2 linked regions of the Arabidopsis thaliana genome follow. The protein of the gene in region 2 interacts with the protein of the main gene of each other region in a pairwise test. Each region holds a gene or a part of one and is shown on either strand. Other genes may lie near its edges.

Evidence for each region. The genes of interacting proteins can lie anywhere in the genome.
Region 1: the proteins of HEC2 (region 2) and PAR1 interact in a two-hybrid assay, tested with the Arabidopsis thaliana proteins (one large-scale study listed by BioGRID).

Annotation. Positions count from the first base shown.
Region 1 is NC_003071.7:17,835,130-17,842,062, reverse strand, and holds PAR1 (phy rapidly regulated 1), read left to right. Parts: upstream 1-4,444; 5' UTR 4,445-4,875; coding exon 4,876-5,232; 3' UTR 5,233-5,647; downstream 5,648-6,933. Other genes in the region: MPK20 (MAP kinase 20), read left to right, coding at 1-56, 204-415, 496-597, 828-970, 1,055-1,491; AT2G42865 (uncharacterized protein), read left to right, coding at 6,469-6,549, 6,625-6,792. UniProt on the Arabidopsis thaliana protein: Atypical bHLH transcription factor that acts as a negative regulator of a variety of shade avoidance syndrome (SAS) responses, including seedling elongation and photosynthetic pigment accumulation.
Region 2 is NC_003074.8:18,653,475-18,662,342, forward strand, and holds HEC2 (basic helix-loop-helix (bHLH) DNA-binding superfamily protein), read right to left. Parts: upstream 4,904-8,868; 5' UTR 4,645-4,903; coding exon 3,949-4,644; 3' UTR 3,481-3,948; downstream 1-3,480. Other genes in the region: AT3G50320 (uncharacterized protein), read right to left, coding at 362-560, 662-715, 903-951, 1,044-1,209.

The sequences.
Region 1 (6,933 bases), on a different chromosome or scaffold from region 2:
AGTTGTTGGAGAGGCTTCTTGCTTTTGATCCAAAAGACCGGCCAACTGCTGAAGAGGTGCTTTTCAACTTCCATATTGACTAACTATCTCAAATCTTGAATTCTCGGCTTCCTGATTGTTTTCTCTCTCTAATAATAGAGTATCATGCATTTGGGGTTTCTATTGGAGTGAATCACTAAACTACTCTTGTATACTTGAATCAGGCACTTGCTGATCCATATTTTAAGGGATTGGCAAAAGTGGAAAGGGAGCCTTCATGTCAACCCATCACGAAGATGGAATTTGAGTTCGAGAGAAGAAAGGTCACTAAAGAGGATATAAGAGAGCTAATTTCTAGGGAGATACTTGAGTACCACCCTCAGCTGCTTAAAGATCATATGAACGGGGCTGATAAAGCCAGTTTTCTCTACCCAAGGTCGTAATTTTTGTTGATTACATTCTTGAGCTAGCATTGCATATCACACCCAGTCCCTGACATTGATGTATACTGTGCAGTGCTGTTGATCAATTTAGAAGACAATTTGCGCATCTTGAAGAAAACAGTGGTAAAACCGGCCCTGTGGCACCTCTAGAAAGGAAACATGCCTCTCTTCCCAGGTATATCCTCATTTTTTCTGTAAAGTCTGTTGTCACTTGATCTGGTTTCGGTGATCTCCTCTGTTTTTGACCCCCGTTATGCAACTGCTATACTAGTTGTATATTAATATACATTGACATGGCAAGGATAAAAAAGATGGAATCATAAGACCGTGACTATCTGTTTCTTGTGTTGAACACTAATTTCTATAAAAATATGTCCTTCTGACTCTGTGTTTGCATGCTTTCAGATCAACGGTCATACACTCAACCGCAGTAGCACGAGGAGGACAACCAAAACTTATGAATAACACAAACACATTGAACCCTGAAACTACTCAAAACATTCCTTTTAATCATGCAACAATACAAGCACAACAAAGAAACCTCTCAGGTACTTTTAATCACTCATCCTGAATCCAACAGCAATGTGTCCAAACTGACCTCTATAAACTGTAAAACATCTATCTACACGCAGCAGCCAAACCAAGCACATTCATGGGCCCGGTTGCACCTTTCGACAATGGCAGAATCAGCAGAGATGCATATGACCCGAGATCATTCATCCGGAGCACTAATCTCCCCTTTTCACAACAATCTGCTGCAACAGTCGCCATGGGAAAGCAGCAAGAGAGAAGAACAACTATGGAGCCTGAGAAGCAGGCAAGACAAATATCTCAGTATAATAGATATGCACCAGATGTAGCCATCAACATAGACAACAACCCGTTTATCATGGCTAGAACGGGAATGAACAAAGCCGAAAACATCAGTGACCGGATCATAATCGACACAAATCTGTTACAGGCAACTGCCGGAATAGGAGTCGCAGCGGCAGCTGCAGCAGCTGCTCCTGGTGGTTCTGCTCACCGGAAAGTTGGAGCTGTTCGGTACGGTATGTCAAAGATGTACTAGTTCTCCACCTAAGCTGGGCTTTCATCACACAGAACATTGTATGTTTCCATCTTCATGTCATAAAAGAAAATTGTCTATGACACAAAACCATATGAGCAAAAAATATTTTTTTTATTAATTGTGATCCATCATTTGTTTGTTTTTTCTATTCCGACAAATAAATAAATGGATGTTAGATTCTGGTATATATAACAAGAAAGGTTGAGAGTTTTTCACGTTTAAAAGAACCGCTGGCTACAGAAGATGGATCAGTGTGGATGCGCATGGTGATGATGATGATGGTTTCATGGCACATCCAAACGCATGTGGTGGTGGGAACCCATATCACAGGCACCACTTTGTTCTTCCAAATGTCAGTAGAAACAGAAAGGTGCATTGTCACTTGATCATATCTTTAAACCAACCAATTTGTGTATATATTTTTGTGTAAACAGTTGAGTTCGCTTACTTTCTTCCTAAACAAGTTATTTCTTCTACAAATTAATAAATGAGCACAATGAGAGATTGCTGTTCAATAAATAGTATCTCAAAATAGAAATATCAAAATAAAATTAGAAAAAATCATTTAAAGATTATTTATTCACTTCTATTTTAATTAAAATAAAAATAAAAAAATTTGGGATCTTTCTTCTTCTTTCTGATTATAAAGTTTTTAATAAAATAAGTTTTAAAGCAAAAGAGAGATATAGCAAGTGAAAATGCATGTACAATTGAAAAAAATGCAACTAAATGAGGCCAAGAGAGGAGACAAATAAGGTTAGAGGTGGACCCAAAAACCACTGTATGCATTGTCCCAGAGATCACCCATCATGGTAGGTCCACCTGTGTGGCCCATATCTCCAGCCTTTATAGAAAAAAAGAGAAGATAACTAATTAACTTCCCTTGATTTGGAGTTTTTTAGCTAAACATTACATATTTTCTTTCTTAATCTTCCCCTTTCTTAATTCTTAAAAAAACATATACTGTCTTGTCTTTAACCAAACTCTTCTCTTTTATTTTTGTGGCAACAAAAATAAATAGTGAAAGGGAATCATCTCAAACTCCTCCTAGATATAAATATTTAGGTTTTCGTCATTAAATAAAAGTTATTTTGGAAAAAATAGAAACAACGAACAAGATACAAAAGGACATAGAATTGATTATTCCAAGACGACGAATGTGAAAGCTGGCTAAAAGCTAAAATTAAATTTCGAGTGTGTTATTTTTGTAACATATTTAATGTAAGTGCAAATACATAAATAAATAGATACTAGAATTGGGGAGAGTGTCAGTTTGGTAGATGGTGAAATGCGAAAGGCACCCGATTTTTGTAAATCTCAATCCCGAGAAACCAAACCCTCCTTCGTCCCCTCTTTGGAAACATCATCTCTTTCTTTATTTCTCTCTTCCATCTTCTTCTTCTTCTAAAACAACATCTTAACAATTTTTAGTATTACTAAAAACCCTAGACGTAAAAGAAATGTGTTATTCTGTTCCTGATCTTTGTCTTAATTAAGACCATACATTATTTCTTTTAATTAGATGTCAATCATTATTCTTTACTAAATTTTTTTTCTTGAGTAGATTTAGGTTAATTTGCAATCTTGGATTAAAGACCTACAAAAATGCAATTGTTTTTTTTTAATGCAATTATTTTTTATTAAGTCTTTATCTAGTTTTTATATCATATAGTTGACAAAAGAAATGCACCGGAGGGCTCATTTATGGAACCAACATTAAGTAAGATTTACTATAACGGTTTTATGTATAAAAGATGTATATTATAAAGATCTCTAGCTAGAAACATGTAACACTATATTCGAATCCAATAACACTAAACTTCCTTGGCTTTCTTCTTGTTATATAGTGGCCATTTCTCTAACATTATAGATATATTGAGATTGTTGTTTTTACGTGGTAAGAAATATGGGATGTTAATTGGAGTTTCTTTTAATAAGAAAAAGGAGTTGACAAAAAAAAAATGAAGGACAGATTTAGGAGGTCACTGAGGTGGGGGGGACCCAAAAAAGGGTTGACACGTGGCCACCATGCCCGATAGATATCATGTGGATCTTAGTAGGATTAGGTCCTCAATTGTACGAACAAGTTCACTATCTCTTAGAGGATCTATTTGATCTCATCCATCTAATAATAATACTATATTACAGTCTGTACATAATGTATAGAGAGGAGGAAGCACATGGGAATGGGGCTTTGAAGATGGAGATATTCATGTGACCCGCACATGTCCTCTCCTCTCTCTTCCTTGTTCCCATGCAAGTAGTGTCTCACTGTATCCTTCTTCTTTTCCTTCCTTATCTCCACGCGCGTGGTCGTTTTCATTTCGTCCGTACTACGTAATTACGACAAAACTTACTCTTATACCATCAGGCATTAGTCCATTACCAGGCACCACCCGAATGGCCTATAAGCATAAGTGCATAACTATAGGGTTTGTCGTCGTCTACTTGAATTTTTCTTTTGGAAATTTAAGCTCACATAAAATAGTTTATACTCTTTATTCTTGTTGTAGAAAATAAGACTGGTAACTATGCAAAACAACGTATAGCAGCTATTACATTTATGGCTAAACCAGATCACAAACCATTTAGAGTTTAAATTAAAGTTCGAATAATATTTTAGCAAGTAATCCGGCTTGATAAATAAATGAGACACTTGCTAAAAGTAATCCGGCTTGTATTAACAACGCATATCCTAATACAATAATAAAGCATTGTTGTATAATTAGTTAATTACTATGTCAAACGTCTAGCTCTTAAACAAACAAATTTAACGTGCCAAATCTCATTTATCAAACAAACAAAAAAATCCAATCTAGATGCGAGGTTGATCCACTTAAGTGAGTGATGAGTCCACTAAAGTCTAAACCAGTCGACATGGCGCGTGAAAGCTCTTCTTCTAAAGATCCAAATCTGTGGAAGCAACCAAAGTAAGAGATAATTAAATAAATCTCCACAATCCGAAACACGAGGATAATAAAATTAAAAATAACGCACAACTGGACCCAGCTTTGATGGCAATACCGCTCATTTAACCATTTCCCAATTTCTAAATGTAGAATTTATTTTATATCGTTTCAATTTTTACATCGTTTTTTATAGACAAACCAAACCAAAATTCGTTCATAACCGAACCTTTCACTAATGTAAGCAAACAATGTAACATAAAGCATAGCAAACCAAATCAAACCGATAGAGTATTGTCTCTAAACTCGCAACAAACCAAAATAAAATCAGGTTGAACCGACCACATTTCAACATTTTTGTCTACTAAATCCATCATCACTCATATATATATATATAACACACACAGTTACACATATCCACATTCCTTACTTGTTCATTATTCTCTCAGACTCATCATTCATCTCTCTCTTTCTTTCAATGGAAGAAACTCTAGCCACTCCCGACGCCACGAGACGCTCTCTGTCACCGTCATGCTCAGCCACCGTGAAATCACGCGCCGCTGGTTTCGAGCGCAGAACCAAACGGAGATTGTCAGAGACTAACGCAAGCGTACGTGAAGACCGAGAAGAAGCAGAAGAAGAAGAAGATGAGGTCAAGGAAAAGATTGAGGCGTTGCAGAGGATTATCCCCGGAGGAGCGGCGCTTGGTGTGGACGCGCTCTTCGAAGAGACAGCTGGTTACATTCTGTCTCTACAATGTCAGATCAAAACCATTAAAGTCCTTACTTCGTTTCTTCAACGCATAGATCAAGAAGACATGAAGTTCGGAGGTTGAAGATTATCACACCAAGACTGCTCTTCTTTCTTCGATTCCTAAAAACAAAAAAAAACGTTTTTTTTTTTCAAATCTTTTATTTCCTTTTTTATAACATGGGATTTTAGCTTTGATATATGAGGAAAGAGACTCAACATTTTTTTCTTCGAATTTTTTTTTTCTTTAGTAGGAGTATAATCTTTAATTTTAATGTTCTGATTTATTTATTAAGCCGTTTCACGGTTATGAGAAGTGTTCATTAACGAAAATTAGCATTAATTAATGTAGTTATATAACTTATTTTAGTAGGACGCCATATAGTATAGATATTAAATTGGATCACGAGGTTTCACTTGCATATGAGATTTGACATTAATGATATTGAGAAAGTTAATGTTACGTGGCCCATTTTTAAATCTGGATGAGCTCATTTCACATGCTTTATTATAACAAAGATTTCCAAAGTCGGTCGATATTTATTTAAGCTTATGATGAACTTACTAGATTTGAGTTCCCGTGGTCCAACAATAGAGTTCATGTATATTCCTTGTACATACATATACAAGACAAATCTTTTTAGTCGTGTAAGTACTAGAGCTAGCATCTACACAGAAATTTAAACACATTTGCCGCTAGAAAAAAAACAATATCAGTTTTAGTATTCATTATAACGTAATTTCTGACCCACAACAATGCAGCTATATCGAACTCTATGGAACTATTTACTCCACACATAGCGGAAAGTCGGGGAAGATATAATTTTCTTACCAACCCTATCTACTCTCTATCCAAATTACATTACAAAGATGAATTTAAGGTTGAACATCGTATAGTACGAAGTTGTAATCAATAATGTTAACTTCAACATCCTTTACCAAACCAAAATTTAAAATAAAAACCATTGATAGATTATAACTAATCACATCCTGTATGGGCTAAAAGCCTAAAAGATTACGATTCCACATGTTTTTTGATTGCCTTAGTTATGTTATAATTGGGCTTAACATAACTGGGCCTGAACCCATTAAACACTAAGAGGTCCGTACAAAAAAGGATTCGCGGCAATATTGTCAAGTGTCAACTACCCTCGGAACGACTTCTTCACTAAAAGTTAAAACTTAAAACCCTAAATCATTTTTTTCTGGTGAATTGAAATAGAATTCTATTTCAAGGAATTGGAGAAGAAGAAGCAAGAATTGACACGGGATAATCTGGAATTGAAGGAGGAGGGTGAGATTACTGAGAGAGATTGAGGAGATGAGAAGTCTGGAAGTGGAGATGAAGCAGAGGTGTGGAGAGATGGAGATTGAGATGAAGCAAATAGAAGAAGAGAAGAAGGTTTTAGAATCTATATCGACGGGAGCTGTGGAGCTTGAGAGTGAGTATTCAGGATGATCTTATCACTGCGTTGAGCGGCGAGATGAGACGGTGACAGAGGTGGCTGAATTGAAGAAATGGTTAATGGAGAAAGGTGATAGCTTTGAGAGTTATGAGAAGGAAGTAGAGAGTTTGACGAAAGTGAGAAGTGATATTGAGAAGAGGTTTAGGGGAATTGCAAGTCTGAGAGGAAGCTTTGAGTGAATGGAGAAGAAATTGAAGAAGGTTGAAGAAGCTAAGAAAACGCTAGCTTTGTTGAACGAGAGGATCTTGGAGCCTACTAATGGAGTCAGAGCTACAAAGGATGTTGCTTGCGATGGTTATGGAAAGATTTACTTGGAAGGA
Region 2 (8,868 bases):
TTTAAGTTTTTCCTCTGCTATTTTGAATTTTTTCATTTTGTTGTCATAAGTTAAAGCAAAACTCAAACTAGATCTCTTGTAAATGTTCTTTTTGGGTTGGTTGATAAAATTTAACTTAAAAAATGTTTCTATCTTATTCCCTTAGCTAATTCTATTCTTGTTTTAATCTTAAATTATTCTCTAATTAGCTACTTAATAAGCAGTGTAAGTCACTCCAAAACGTGTAAAGCTTTCTCTTTCAGACGTGATAATCGAGACTTGTATTTCGCATTTCTTTTCCGACGCCGATAAAGTTGTGGCTCGCCGGCGTCGGACTTTTGGTTCTGCTATTTGCTTCCTTACCTTTCTCTTATGTTTTCTGCTACCGGTTACCGTCGCTTTGCGCTTTTCCGGCCTCCTCACGGATCCTCTTTTGACAGAGTTTGATGTCGTAAGTCTCGCCTTTGGGTGGTTCCGAAGAGCTGATTCCAATGACTCTTCTCTTGCTGTCTCTCTGGTCGTGGTTGGTTTGAAGTTTGTTCCGGTTCTTCACTGAAGATCTATTCACATCTCTTCCGCCCCTATCCTCAAATATTTACCAGATCCTCCCGCCTTTTCTCTCTCCATCCTCGTTTCATCCGAATTTCCGATGTTTCAGAGTTTGCTGTTAGCGTTTTCGGACTCCTCTGCTCCTCTCTCCTCCGCCAGCCGCCGTGAAGTTGCTCGTGTGTATGAGCTAGGTCAAATTCTGGGTTACAGGATGCAAAGGTTGTTCTTGGTTTTGGCTTGGCCCAACAACAACCTTTTCTGTTGGGGCAGTTCTAGCCTAATTTTCTTTATGGGCTCAATTGACAATTAGGCCTCTGTGAGTTTTTATTTGGTTTGCCCTAATTTTTCTAATTTCTCTTTGTCGCTTCTTTCACCTCATCTCCTGCATCAAGACATCGTGCTTCCTCAGTCTCCTTTTCCATCCTACCAAGACAAGGAGATGTACATTCCTCCTACTCGAAGTGAGAGCCCTCCTTCATCGTTATCCCTTCCCAAGTTGTTGAGAAGATGTTCACCTTTATCCCTTCCCATTTTGTTGAGAGGATGTTCTTCGGAGAGATCTTTCTCTTGTGTCTTAGTTGGCTTAGCATTAGCCAAATCTTTGATTGGAATTGTTGTCCTAGTTGGAGCGTCAATCCCGTACAATAGATCACGCTTAGTGTTCTTTGTTTCCAATGACATCGTTTCACTCGATATCTTTTATGGTTTTGAGTGTTAGGATTGTTCTTTTATTCTCTTGTTCTTATGTTTATTGTTTGACCTTAAGAGCAACTTCATTGCACAATAGAAAGAGGATATCTTTAATAATATTAAAACATTAAATTTACAAAATATTAATATTCAAATATGAAGGATCTTTAAATTGGAGATATCATATCCTCTCAAAAATGTCTATTCTTAGACATTTAAGATATTGTGTCTTTATTTTAAAGACATCCAAAAATTAAAATAATATTTTTTGGAATATATTATATTTTAAGTGTAAGAAGACACTCTCCTTATTTGTTCAATGTAGATGCTCTAATGGCAGTAATTTCTGCAATTTCTTTCTTTTGGCTGATGTTTATTCCAGCTCTTGTAATCAAGTTATCTTTTGATGGATAGTTTTATAAAAGATTGGTCACAAAAAAAAAATAGTGTAAGTCTATAAATACATATTAGTGGAATATGTTTTTATTGATTAGAGATTTAGAGTATTAACATATACTTCTTGTTATGCCAAAGAATCCTAAAGTTATATTAGAATTAGATTCAACTACAACATGATTGCGTTTTCTGTTTTTTTTTTTTTTCGTCAACAACATTGCGTTAAACTTTAAAGAGAATTTATTTGAATATTTAGATACGTATATAGGTGACAGCACCCGCCGTTGGTTCTGACAAAACGGTAAATCAAATGCTCATAAGCTTGACATCTAAAGAAAAAAGGGAGCTAAAAAAATTGATCCAACTTGACGTATAAGTGGAATCGATTTTTTGAAAGCATACATGGGGTTGGGGTCCCTGTCCCTCTAAAGATAAGCATAATTCAACATTTTCGAATATTCCTTAGAATACGAATTGTGACTTATAATCTTTAAACGTCATTATACTAGTGCTAATTATCCTCTGCATGCATGACGTCCCCAAATCAGACAAACATTAATTCGAACCTTATTTTGATTGAATAACATTCAATTTCATTAGTATATTTTGGGAAACAATGCATGCACACCCACTTCCTTGACCGAGCTGATAAATTCAGAATTAGGTAAGCCAAACCCAAAATGGGCTGCCGAAACAAAGTGCATGAACATCAATTTAAACATGTTTTTCTTTGTTAAAGTTGAGTCAAAGGCTATTCTAAAAATATTACATTTTTTTTTTTGGAAGTTCCAAATAAAAAGGAAGCCGTCACTATACTATTCACGACAAGAAGATTTACATCATTCCTGAAATTATCAATCAAACGAATAGCTAAAAATGTAAAAATTGTATTGGGTTTTTGGAGTGGACTATTCAGGAATTTCATCTCATAATGGGTTTTTATATAAGATAAATAGTTACAACCCATTTTTAAGAGGCCCAAGGGACGTTTATTTTAAAAAGCTACTGATCCCTTTACAAATTTACGAACAAATAAAGCATATCTTCGAAATTACCAATCTGTATCACACAAAAAAACAACAACACTGAGATATGGAAATTTTCGAGATTAATCTAACGGTGAAGTCCTTATGTGAAATTACGAAACTGCCTTATTCATGTTCATCTTCATCTTTCTGAAGTACCCCTTTTGCTCCCAGAACAATGTCCGCCGTCGTGCTCCGACCAAAACATGTAGTCTAAGTCTAATACTAGTTTGTATCATTATCTGTTACAACAAACATATCTGTGTACGGTAAAGGGCTTATCTTTGTGAAATGGATCTTTATTTGGGCTTTACCTTGTGACACAATAATATGTAGCCTTGGTTTGTGATATAAATTATTTTTTAAAGTTGGGATGTCAGCTGGGTTTCTCCATCTTCTGTAATGAATGTAGTTGATTCAAGTTCCGAGAAATTTATGAAGAAGCAAAAAAAAGAAAGCAAAAAAAAAACATTTAAGTACGAGATAGATTGATATACACTCATTCAAAAGAGAAAAAGTTATTTATACAGCAAGATAGTAGTAGTAATACAATCTGCCTTTCTAGTTTGTTAACTAAAAAGAAGAACAATAGAAAACATATAATTTTACATATATAACTCACCAATATTAAAATCAATATATATGGTAATTTATTTTCTAAACAATTTTTGTTTTATTTCATAAGAGTCTGTTTTCGTTTAATTTAATAAGAGGCTTAGACTTTTGTATTTATATATTAATTATTACATGCATTGAAATTTTGCAGAATCTTACACTCTAAAAGTATGATATATATTTTTATTTTTCAATAAGTGTTAAAATGCTAAACAACACCACAGATGTTCGTGTTATCGATTTGTCTCCAAAACTTCCTGTTATCTATAAAGTTGGCTCACAAAATCATACACCTATGCATCAAGAACGTACCACAGGTACGAAATGCCATAAATTATAAACTTTTGACGCTTACATTGGAAACAAGACAGAAAACAATACTATTATTCAACTCACAAAACCTTAACTAGATGTCTGAAAGCTAAAACATGTTGCATTGATCAGTGACAAGAGACTATTTCATTTAGTAATGATAAATTGATAAACTATGCTTATTCTTTAGTCTTTACAACCAAGTTGTCTGACTTTTAAATTGTTAATTAACCATCCCAAACATTATCGAAACCCGGAAAGATAAAAACATTTAAAAAAAATGCTCTCATAGTTTCATGATACTAAATTCAACTCCCTCGATAATATTTTTTCCCGTCATATTAATAAACATATGATATATATTTAAAAATCAACATCATCATCATCTAAGAATCTGTGCATTTCCAAGCATCTGGTGATGATCAGACCGCATAATGCCACACCCTTTTCCTCCATATCCTCCACCAACAGTACCCGCAAGTGCTCCTCCGGCCACCGCCGTCATTCCTCCGCCGTTAACCACCGCATGTTCCTCCAGCGACTGCACTTGCTTCTTGAGAAACTTAACGTAATGGATAGCCTCATCGAGCATCGACGCCGTATCCATCTTAGTCCCACCGGGAACAAGCCGCTGAAGAATCCGAATCCGCTCGCTTATCCTCTCCCTTCGATGCCGAGCTGCCACGCTCTGTGGATCCTTAGAGATCCTCACGTTCTTTCTCTTTGGTGGCTTTACGGATTCCGGATCAATATGTATAGGCTGCATCACGGCTATTCGAAAGATCATCTCTCTCATCGCCGCCATGTTGGCGTTGTCGCTGCAGCCTCCTCTCTTCTCCGGGAGAGATGATGACGGGGAGGGGGCGTACCGGAAATTTAAACCGGGTTGGTGGTGAGGCATGGTTTGGTCAAATGGGAGATGAGAATGAGTGGGGTTGAAGAAGAACGGGTGGGTGTTGGATTCAGAAAGCATCATAATGTTATGGGGATTAGGGTTAGGGTTTGAGTTAGAGAAGTGTTCAGGAAGCTTCTCCATCTGCTGCATCATCATGTTCATTAGAATGTCGGAGTTATCCATCCTCCTTTTTTGTGGAATTTATAGGGTTTGTTTTTTCTTTGAGAGATATGGAGAAGCTGGTGAGATAAGGTATGGAGGAAGAAGAAGATGGACTGACAAAGCTTGAAATTTAGGGCTTTGTGTGTCTGAATCACAGAAGAGATGATGGTGGAAGACAGAGGGAGAGTTATGTGCGAAATGTAAACTGTTACTACCAATCAGAGATTCAGCAATATAAAAGGAAGTGATGGATTTATATAGCACTTTGTGACCCATTCTTATTATTTTACTCCTTTTTATTACATATATAATTTATAACAATTAGGATTGTTTTCCTTCTTCTATTTTTCACACTCCTAAAACTTTGTAACACACACGTATATGTATTTAGTAAATATATGTATGTATACATTAACGTACACTAGCTAGCAGTTGAAAATTTGTTCATTGCTTTGACATGGATGTTTCAACCTTCCATATGCATTGGACAGTTATATTTATGTTGCACGTATTTTTTTTAACTATAAATAAAATTATACTATTTATTTTATGACAAAAAATATAAATTTATTTACTTTAAACTTTCAATACCAGTTTTGCATAAATTAGTTGGTGTACTTATATATACTTTTGTCTGGAATCATTGCAACTCGCAAGAGATTGGAATCACTAGTCACTTGGTGTCACTAAAATTAGCTGATGAATGGAAAATTCGTTTTGAGTCATATTTCATGAAGGATATTATCCTTTGTCTGGATCAACCGTTCACGTGTCACAATCGGTGGGATTTTGGACCCACGAGTTGTGAACTAAGGCGCTTCTGGACAAATGAAGGTGCATGAACCGCTCTCACCATTTGAGGCAGCAACCATGAATTTTCCTATTTCTACAATTTTAATTTGTTTTCAAAATATAAAAATAAATCTTTTATATAAGTTCGAATGAGTGTAATGGGAAAGACTGAAAGAGAGAGTAGTTGTGTAGTTTTTTTTTTTTGGTATCTAAATTTTATACTACTGTTTTTTTTTGTTTATAATTGTTAATTACCCCACATCCACATGAAATATGTCAGAATCCAGGGAACCCATCTGTTTCGCCGGGATCTGTTCAGGCGACGGCGAAACAATATTACCTTGAATTCAAGTTTTCTTATTTTAACTTTTAACCTGGATGGATCCAATATGTTATGCATGAGAATATTAATGAGATGCACTGTCTTCGTTAGTAAGTAGTAAATAAGATTGATGTTATAACTTCTTTGAACATGCTTGAAGAAAACGTACTACGTTATTATTTTTTTGCATGATTTTTTTGTTTTTGTTTAAATGAGTAATATAGTGAATTTCTCGAGTTTCACAAATACAAACCATCATGTTAACGTATTTAGTTTATATGAATTTGTTTTGCAATGTATATACTAAGGGAGTGTATATTATGGAAGAATATTATCTTATATATAATGGACTCAATATAATCGAACCTCACTTGGCGTCGAGCGTTGGTATATGGCACGCTTATCAAAGCCGATCGGAAAGGACTTATTGCGATCTTCATTAAATTATTTTTCTCTTTATTTTAAGAACTTTACGTGAACATAGAGTAGTACTGTTTATTGACAAAAAACAAATAAAGAACAAAAGAAAGAAATTCTTATAACATTAGTTAACAAAGGAATTGCACTTCAACAACCAAATTAATAATAAATGACTCTTTCCTTAAAAATGCATACGTCAAACGTCAAAAACCTCACAATCTTCAATCAAGATCAATGCTTGGCTTCATTTGTGCAAAATCATCGGGTTTTTTCTTTTCATTCATAGAAATCATCTCTTTTGACGTCACAAAAGTAATTGCTTACTTGTTAATTAAAATTATTATGAGTTCGTCTTCTACCCTATAATTAGCCTAAAATAGACAGACACAGTAAGTTGCTTTGGACTTGGTTTTACCCTCTTATGTTGACACTGAAACATGTAAGAAAGCTAACGAAACGATGACGTTTCGCTGCTCTCTCTTTTTCAATCAGCTTCGTAAGTAACAAAAATAGATGCTATTTTCCCCTTTTCACCTTTTTACTTACACAAAGTCACTGTAAGAATTAAACACTCCTCCTTCCCACCGAATCTAAATTTCTTAACCAAGATTCCAAGTCTTGTTCGTACAATTTTTTTTTTTGTCTCTCGAGAACTTCCTTTTTCGATTTTTTTTCTTTAATTATTGAACTGTTTAATCAAAGTCGCCCATGTCATTCACTACGTTATTGATTGAACAAATGCCGTTAAAATCGACAGCAAATTTAAAAATGTACTAATAAAGAATAAGAACTCAGAATGGAAAACATTAGCTAAGATTGTTTACTGAAATTTGCGATGCAACTCTAAAACGCCAATGACGATTTGTTTAGTTGGAAGAATCTTTTTGTAAAAAAGTTTGAAAAATCTTTATGTATTTAACATATCTTGATCAGATAGTACTCTCATCAATTCACCGAATAAAAAATGCAAAGATCATATATGATGTAATTTTATATGAAACTCACCACAAACAAACTTATAAATTAAATAGACTTCCATAAAATCTAGAGTTTAGTAGTGATTGGACTACTGACTTTTTTCGTCGGATGTATTTATTAAAAAAAAAAAAGTTGTCATCGTAGTATTTGGTTGAGGATGGGCAGTGTATTAAAATAACAAACACTGGGATATTGGAAGCATATATCAAAAAATTCTAAAAGGAATTATATTTTAATAATTAAATAAACAAAAATTGGGGTAGGTTGCCTCCCAAGGCAAGGTAGTGATACAGCTGTGTTCATGTCCCAAGCATCATCTATGCCCTTTGCTCCATATTAACACCACAATTTCTATCCCCTAATGATTAATCACGTTTTCCGACAAATTTTTAAACTACTCCTTAATTAAAATATTCATAATTGAAAAAATGAAAAATATATATCGATTTATACTCGATTAATATCCTGTTTTTTACTCGATCATGAGTTGATGACAATATCCTTAATGTTAGGTTTATACTTTATAGATAACATTCTTATAATTTCTTGAACAAGTGCTCTGTATTCTTCTGACACATTTTTATCTTCTTTTTTCGTTTCTTTAGTTATTATATTGTTCATATCATATATGAAAAAAAAAAAAAAGATAAATCTGAATTCATTTGCTTTCTTTATTGCTCTTTTTTTTCAATTATGTATTTCCAATCTCTCTTTTTATTCGGATAAATTCTCATGTTCTCTGTGACAGGATAAAGTTCATGCACCCCTCTTTAATTATTGCTACTATCGTAGTATATTATATTTCACTTTCTGGAGCAATTTTCTTACAGAAATGGCACTTTCTTTAACTTTCTAGACAAACACTCACCAGATTTATCAATAGATTCAATACAGAAGTTCATACAAAACGAGTACCAAACTAAATTGTAATCAAGAACAAACTAAAAAAATTAAAATAAAAATAAGGAAAGCGTATATAATATGCATGGAGAGGCAAACAAAAGTCAAAACCTAGAAGATAGGAGCCTTTGGATTGGGAGAAAACCAATTATAACAATTTTAATGTATGGACGAATTAAGTAGAAAAAGAGGATTGTGATAAAGATTTGTTTCTAAATAAAGTATAAAAACATTTTTACCAAATAAGGAAGAAAAGAAAGAAAGAAAGCTCATGTAAAATGCATGGAGATTGGAGAGGCAAACAAAAGTCAAAAGTGAATCAAAACCTAGAATATAAAATGTAACATATGGAAGTGCTTCAATAAAAAAATAAAAAAAAAAAAGTGCCTCAATCGGGAGAAATTAAAATTTTAACATATGGAAGAATTAAGACAAACAAAATGGATAATTTTAAAAATAAAATTTCCTAATAAGGAAATGTTTTGGAATGAAGAAGATTAGATCTTAGATCCATTTAATTGGATCTCCTCTCTTTTCTTTGTTTGTTTCTTGTTTTTTAGTAGAATTTTGGTATTTGGTACATTCTTTGACTCTTGTTTTTAAACACCCATCCATGTCCCTTGTGCTATATTAAATGTACTCAATTTACATATTTTCCGGTGCACCTCACAAGACATATGTAAAATGTAAGATAATATATTTGTTTTCATTATTGAACGAAATCATGAAAACAAATATATAAAATGTACCGCACAAGTCACAAGACGAGACATATGTAAAAATGTACTCAGTTTATATAAATTATATCTATGAACCGACGTGCAACATCGTAA